Linked DNA regions of Saccharomyces cerevisiae S288C. The gene in region 1 interacts genetically with each later gene. Each region holds a gene or a part of one and is shown in the gene's direction. Other genes may lie near its edges.

Region 1 (4,244 bases):
CTGGTACCAAGGATATTGAAGGGCATAGCTTACTGGAAAATTATGCGCCTAATATGATTCTCTCCCAGTCGACTGGAGTTGAACGTAGATTTGAAAATTCATCATCCATCCAAAATTCGCTTGGGAATGAAATTCATGACTCGGGTGAGCATATGGCTTCAGGTGATACTTTTAATGAACTGGATGATGGCAAATTGCGCAAGAGCAAGAAAAATGGTGGAAGATCTCAACTTGGCCAAAATATACCGAACTCTCAGTCTACTTTCCCCACCATTGCTAACATCGGTAGTAAAGATAATAATGTACCACAGCACAACTTTTCGACCTCCATATCGAGTTTAACCAATAATTTGAGGAGAGCTGCTCCTGAAAGCTTCCATGGTTCAAGAATGAATAATATTTTTCACAAGAAAGGTAATCAGAATCTACTTCTGAGATCCAACGATCTCAACAAAAATTCTGCAGCCCCGGCCTCTCCATTGTCCAACGAACATATTACATCTAGTACGAACTCCGGTAGCGATGCAAACAGACAATCCAACTCAGGTGCCAAATTTAATAGCTTCGCCCAGTTCCTTAAATCAGATGGGATTGATGCAGAATCAAGAACACAAAGAAAATTATGGTTGCAGAGGGAGAATTCTATTATGGACTTAAGTTCACAAAATGACGGTAGTGACTCTATCTTTATGGCAGGAAACATTGATGCGAAAAGGGAGTTTGAGAGAATATCCCATGAATACTCTAATGTAAAAAGATTTTACAACCCATTAGATGAAGCATTGTTGAGAGTACAACCTATAATAACGGGAAATGCAAATAATATCAGGAAAAAAAGCCATAACGATGCTCAGTCAATCGCACATTCTAGCAGTGATACAGATCATAAGGATGAGGACGATTTGCTCTTTACTAACTATGACAAAAAATTTGATGATCTTTATCCACATCTTGCAAGTGCAAAGATTCAGGCAGTGTTGTCCGGTATATGGAAAAGCGAAAGTTACTTATTTAACAAGGATGTTAATCCAATCAACAAGAATAGGACAACGAGTACAAACCACAGCGTTGGCCACACTGCTTCACAGAATGCACGTAACTTGCTGAGGGGCCCGATGGGTTCCAGCACGACTTTGCACCACCAACGCGTCATTAACTCTCTGCAGCCGACTACGAGGGCAGTGAATCGCAGGATGGAAAATGTGGGCTACATGCATACACAGCCACAACAAAGGTGAAAACAACCAACACGAAGCACACAGTTTAAAAGAGTAGCTAATGCTTTCGAGGTAAAACGCGAAGTTCGTAGAGAGCGAATATGTTTGGACACTTAAGGAACATACTATGTTTATGCACTATAAAAGGACATGTACTTCTATACGAGCTAACGAGGCGTATTTGTATAACCCGGTTAACGTAATAAATGATAAATTATCGAACAAAAAGAAAGAAAAACGTTGAATGCAACCACCGCAAATTTAGCGATTTCGCTGGATTCCGTATCTCTTAAAAAATGGCATTAGTAAATATACCTTAAACGTGTCTATTCTTTTAGCAATTTTTTGGTAAGTATTCCTCACGGACTATAAATACTATCGGTCAGAATCACTACATTCAAATTAATCTTGTTTTACCGAGTCTCTGACGTTTCATTTACAAGCTTGTCCTTACAAAAAACCTATTTTATTACTTTAGTCCATTTTCCTTTCAAGTTAGATATTGTTTTCCCTTCACTTATATTCTATTTATGAGAAGAAGCCCGTCCAGATCAAATAATAACTTTGCAGTACCGAATTGCTCAACTAATTCAAACTCTAGTCAGCAACAATTAACTACACCTTCAGATGATCTCAACAGTAACGAACCTAATGACCCAGATGATAGTAGGTCTCTACCTACTATCAAGAAATTCAATAATAAACATTCTATAAACAATTACAACACTTTAGCATCGGCCGGGAAAAACAACAACAATAAACGAGCTAGCAATGATAATTTGCTCATTCCTGGTGAGAATGCCCATAAACAGAAAATATACACTAAGGATGAAAACTTGAAGAGCTTGTACCTAGATATCGATGTTTCTGTCGCTAAAGCCCTATCCTCATCAGCAACTGCTCCGAAGCTGATCAATACCGCAAGAACTTCCTCTACTACCACTGCCACTACCTCAAATAATATCCTGACATCACCCTCTTATCGTGAATCAAATTATTCTTCTCCATCCTCATATTCTTTTTCCTCCTACTACTCATCCGCTACGTCTGCTTCCTCATCAACCTCATCATTTTTAAAATCTTCAGGGTTATCGTCCAGAGTTAAGTCTCCTTCATCTTCGGTTAAGGCAGGTTCTTTTGGTGCGCCTTCGTCCCCAACATCTGGGATACCTAATCCTAAAAGTAGCAAGAAGCCTATATTTTTGAGACGGTATTCTCATGATACCTCTTCAAATGAAGGTCTTGATATCGATGTTGCGATCGAAAAATTACTACAAGTGGGTGAGTCAAGAGAAATTACAAAAACGTCCAAAAAAAAGAACTTTCCATTCCATTCTTGGGAAATTCAACTCATTTGCTATCATGCAAGAGAAATTTTTTTGAATCAACCTACTCTTTTGAGATTACAAGCGCCTATCAAAGTTGTCGGTGATGTTCATGGACAATTTAATGATTTATTGAGAATTTTGAAGTTGTCTGGTGTGCCATCTGATACTAATTATCTGTTCTTGGGTGATTATGTGGACCGTGGTAAGAACTCATTGGAAACAATACTATTGTTATTATGTTACAAAATAAAGTACAAAGACAACTTTTTTATGTTAAGGGGTAATCACGAATCTGCTAATGTCACAAAGATGTACGGTTTCTATGATGAATGCAAAAGGCGATTGAGCTCGAAAGTATGGAAAATGTTCGTTGACGTATTTAATACTTTGCCATTAGCAGCAATTATTCAAGATAAGATCTTTTGCGTTCATGGAGGTATATCGCCCGATTTACATGACATGAAGCAAATCGAAAAAGTCGCAAGACCAACGGATATTCCTGAAAGCGGGCTGGTTACAGACTTACTGTGGAGTGACCCAGACCCTCAAGTAACTGATTGGTCAGAAAATGATCGTGGTGTTTCATACACATTTTCTAAGAGGAACGTTCTTGATTTTTGTGCTAAGTTTAAATTCGATTTAATACTTAGGGGACATATGGTCGTAGAAGATGGTTATGAATTCTTTGCCAGGAAAAAGTTTGTCACAATCTTTTCAGCACCAAATTATTGTGGAGAATTTCATAATTGGGGGGCAGTAATGAGCGTTACAACGGGTATGATGTGTAGCTTTGAACTGTTAAAGCCGCGTGCATTGAAAAATAAAAAGAAGTTATACAAAACCAAAGTGTAGCTGTTGCTAAGATTGGTTTTGCCTGGAAAGCACATTGGTTTTTAGGCCTCTTATCCTTCATTTGGAAACTTTTTGTCCTATGATTTGTTTTTTTCATTTTATTTTTCATTTTATTTTTCATTTTATTTTCATTTAGTTAACATTATTATGCAGTTATTTTTTTTTTTCCCACCTTCATGGCCTCGTTTATGTCTTTTATCAATATATTTTTTACGTTTATAAGTCATTTACTCGACTTTTTTTACCTTTGATATGCAATCATATTATTCTTCCCTCCATTATGGCTAAATAAATGATAATTATAATCTATAGTTTTCAAGCGTTCATATTTTGACAGATAAGATTATGCAACAACTTGGAAGGGCGGAAGGAAGCAAAAAGAAAACTCCGATACGGGGAGTCGAACCCCGGTCTCCACGGTGAAAGCGTGATGTGATAGCCGTTACACTATATCGGACAATAATTGGACAGAAAATTTTGTTAAAGTGTCAGCCTAATCGGCGTAATACGTATATATGTATATTATCTGCATATTATTACGATAATATACAACAAAACGGATTAAAACAATCGGTATATTTCAATTTGATATTTGGGATAAGGTAAAATAAAAACCGAAGATCAGTAAGCTCTTGTTACTTTTTTGTTGGAATAGAGGATCAAGAAGCATTTATTGCTAGTATCCAAATTATTAGTATATCATCATGTTTTCAAAAAAAAATGATGTAAAAATTGAGAAACAGTCACCAGTCATCATGAAAAGTGCACTGCAAGGATTAATAACGTAATAAAACAAGAACGACAGTACATAAACGAAAGAAGAGATAACTATATTATTGTATAGAAT
Region 2 (3,783 bases), on another chromosome or scaffold:
GTTCTTTGTACTTCTCAGAAAGAGTGGACAGTATTTTCCCATTTTGCTTTCAAACCAGTTCTGTGGCCTGTCAAGGTACTGTTGCATGTATGAAGGAACTACAGTAGTCAACGTGTGGTTAGACTGGGAAAATTCCGCTGCGGACCCGACGCTGCAGCTTATATTTTGATTGCGGGGAGCAGGAGCGCAGGCATCTTGTTTAGATTTTTGGCTTGGATAATGTTTGTGGTGATCAGTGGAATTTATTGGGCAGTAAATTTCAGTTGGAATGATAGATTCATTCGTCTCTTTTGTTCTGGAGTCCTTGGTGCGGCGGAAATCAAAGCAAGTCACTTCTGCGTTAAGCGATGCGAAATTGCCGTCTGGAAATGACGATATGTGGGGAGAATGAGGAGGATTCCATGACGAATAAACTGATGAGGATGTGCTAACAGATGAGGTTAGTGAGGGTACCGATTCGTTGTTTTCTGACGCAGAGTCTGTTGTGGGAGATGTGGTAGCGTTATTTCTTTGCACAAGAGAAGGTGGGAGCATAGCACGGTTGTGGGAGGAGGAAGAAAGCATTACGTTGCAACTATCATTTACGGAGTGGGATAAGAGGTAGGAGGTTGTCATAGCGGTGCTTTCTTCCTGGTGCATGGCAGAAGACGTTGGCAGTAATTCGTTTATTATGGTGACATTGTCGTGATTAGAAAGGACTGTCTCTTTTACCATTGCCTCGGGTATGTTTTTTGACGCTTGCCCTGAACTTACTCCAGAGCAAGCCTCAGTAGAAGAATGACCGGAATGATTCCTCTTATACACGTTCCAGAGCGGAGCATTCTTGACATCATAAAAAAAGTTGCTGACAGGATCTTTGGACTGGTTGACGTTAAGTGGTTCCGTAGCTGGTCTGATGTTTTCTTGTACGGTATCACTGACGGCTGAGAAACCTTCAGAGGAACCGCTTTCGGGAACAGACTTGGAGGATTGCAAATTAAGCCATTGAAAGTCTAGCCCAACCTTGTTGCAAAAGGCCTTGAACTCCTGGAAAGATGTAGACATTATGTGGGCGAAAAACAAAATTAGACCAACGCTTTAGCAAATTTTTTCAACCTCAAATTGATATTTGAAGATTAGATCGGATGGTTTTTTTTCCTGTGGTGTAGGCCAAGCTTAAACAAGGTTTTAAGTGAAAGTGGAAATAATTGTGATAAACATGCGGAAAGAGTGCCAGCCTTAAATAATTCCGCATTGTTGCTATGTCGTTTTGTTTTTGTTTTTGTTTTCGTCTTATTGGTATTTGTTCATTTTACGACCACAAAGGATCCAGGGCTTCTACTTGCACAGGGAGGGTTGCTTGGTTAATACAATACAAACGTCAGAGATATTAAGATTTGTAAAGGGTGCATTCAATGAGTTTTTCCTCAATGTGCCCTAGAAAGGAAGTAGTACGAACATTTCTCAGTCGGAGTTTGCCGGAAATTCGAATGACAGTGTAAGTTGAGTTTTGTGGCACAGGGATAATGAGCGGTGGTGCTGGCACACAGTAGTGACGTTGGTTTGGTAGTGTGGAGGGACGGTGGAAAACAGATAACAGTGGTCTCTTGGCCCAGTTGGTTAAGGCACCGTGCTAATAACGCGGGGATCAGCGGTTCGATCCCGCTAGAGACCATTCTTTTTTTTTGCATTGGCAATGTGATTTATAAAAGTTTTCTTAGTCCAGATTGTAAAAATGTTAGATGGGACTACAGTGCACGTACGCAGTCATTAGGACATAGGCACTGGCTCGTCTTACTGTGTAAATAAAAACTACTTAAGTTCGAGAATCTCAAATTAACTTCTAGAGCATGGCTAGTTATTCTTTAGTTGAATCGAATTCTTTCGGGTCAGAAAATTGGTGTCTTAAGTTACAGCCTAGTTATAAACATGGTCTTTTAACTGGATTAAGTAATGGCGAAATACGTTTGCTAGACTGGAGTACTGGTAAATCAGTACAAAAGATTAAGGCGAGCGAAACTGCAATCAATGATATGAAGGTCATCGGTAGCGACTTCTCTGCTGGTCATCTAGTTAGTAGCGCCTCTATCGACGCGGTGAAAGTTTTCGATATAAGGACGAATGACCGCATTGCTCAAATTCAAAACGAGGCCAACTCCCCCTTTATTTCCTTAGATTCTCGTCATGGTCTATTGGCCTGTGGTACCGAATTGCAGGGAATTGACGCTGCTGTATACATATATGATATTCGCAAATGGGACACTCCATTGAGATCATTAATTGACTCTCACCATGATGACGTTACCTGTATTAAATTTCATCCTTCTGACGTCAATATTTTGCTCAGTGGTTCAACTGATGGTTACACGAACATTTATGACTTGAAACAAGATGAGGAGGAGGACGCTTTACACCAAGTTATTAATTATGCGTCAATACATTCCTGTGGATGGTTGTCCCCAAAGAGGATATTTACACTATCACATATGGAAACATTTGCAATTCACGAATTGAACGACAAATCTGACGAATTGAAAGAGCCACAACCCTTGGACTTTGGTGATGTAAGAGAAATATGGAACTGTGACTACGTGGTAGATATTTACCCTGGACTCATTGCAACCGGTAAAACCCAAGAAAATTGTGGAGAGTTGTGCCTCCTACCATTTAAAGATGAGAAGGTGGATACTGAAAACGGTATTGTTATCCCACACGCCCATGGAGACGAGGTCGTCAGAGATATTTTTATACCAGCACAACATAGCAACATGTTATACTCCTGTGGTGAAGATGGTTGCGTTAAAATTTGGGAAAACAAACAGGGGCCGTTAGATATTCCAGAAAATTTTTGGGATTACTCTAAAAAAATGAACGTCTTAGGAGATGACGACAGAGAAGGTTCCATTAATTTAGACGAACCTCTTATTATTCAAAAAGAATCGGTTTCCACGAGGCCAAGGAAGGAGAAACACAAGAAAGCCAAGAAACATTCCATGAAAAGTCGTTTCAAACCATACTAGTTTCATAAAGACAATACATCTAAAGAGATGCCTAACATCTGCAAGAGATTTCGGCAGAACTACTCTATAACTTAAAAAACGAAGCATACATTCCAAACAAGTTGATACTTCTAGATCATAGTTTATCTTCATAGGGCTTCTTTTGTTGGTACAATGTTATAACAACTATATTTCTGCTATATAGAGTATTAATGCATTTTTTTTTTTTATCTCCAGCATTAAACGTGCACGCTTCTATAAGGTGGAAAAAAAATACTAGAAAAGGAATAAGTGAAACACCACGTTGATGGTGAAAAAATATAAAGGGGCGAGCTGGGAATTGAACCCAGGGCCTCTCGCATGCTTTGTCTTCCTGTTTAGGCAGGAAGTCGCCCAAAGCGAGAATCATACCACTAGACCACACGCCCGATTATTTTATGGTGATTTCTGTCTCACAGGAAATTGTTATCAAAGGATAAATAGCATATTTGTCTTAAAGAAGGTTTTATAAATAGACATGCAGAATGTACTTATCAGTGGTATTGGAATGTGTTGGAATAAAAATCAACTATCATCTACTAACTAGTATTTACGTTACTAGTATATTATCATATACGGTGTTAGAAGATGACGCAAATGATGAGAAATAGTCATCTAAATTAGTGGAAGCTGAAACGCAAGGATTGATAATGTAATAGGATCAATGAATATTAACATATAAAATGATGATAATAATATTTATAGAATTGTATAGAATTGCAGATTCCCTTTTATGGATTCCTAAATCCTCGAGGAGAACTTCTAG

The links.
Region 2: mutations in PPQ1 (region 1) and YNL035C together harm fitness more than expected from each alone (negative genetic interaction), as found in Saccharomyces cerevisiae (one large-scale study listed by BioGRID).

What each region holds. Positions count from the first base shown.
Region 1 is NC_001148.4:206,410-210,653, forward strand, and holds PPQ1 (protein-serine/threonine phosphatase), read left to right. Parts: upstream 1-1,747; coding exon 1,748-3,397; downstream 3,398-4,244. Other genes in the region: TCO89 (Tco89p), read left to right, coding at 1-1,238. UniProt on the Saccharomyces cerevisiae protein: Phosphatase involved in the regulation of protein synthesis. Affects translational accuracy.
Region 2 is NC_001146.8:567,738-571,520, reverse strand, and holds YNL035C (uncharacterized protein), read left to right. Parts: upstream 1-1,829; coding exon 1,830-2,999; downstream 3,000-3,783. Other genes in the region: YNL034W (uncharacterized protein), read right to left, coding at 1-1,044.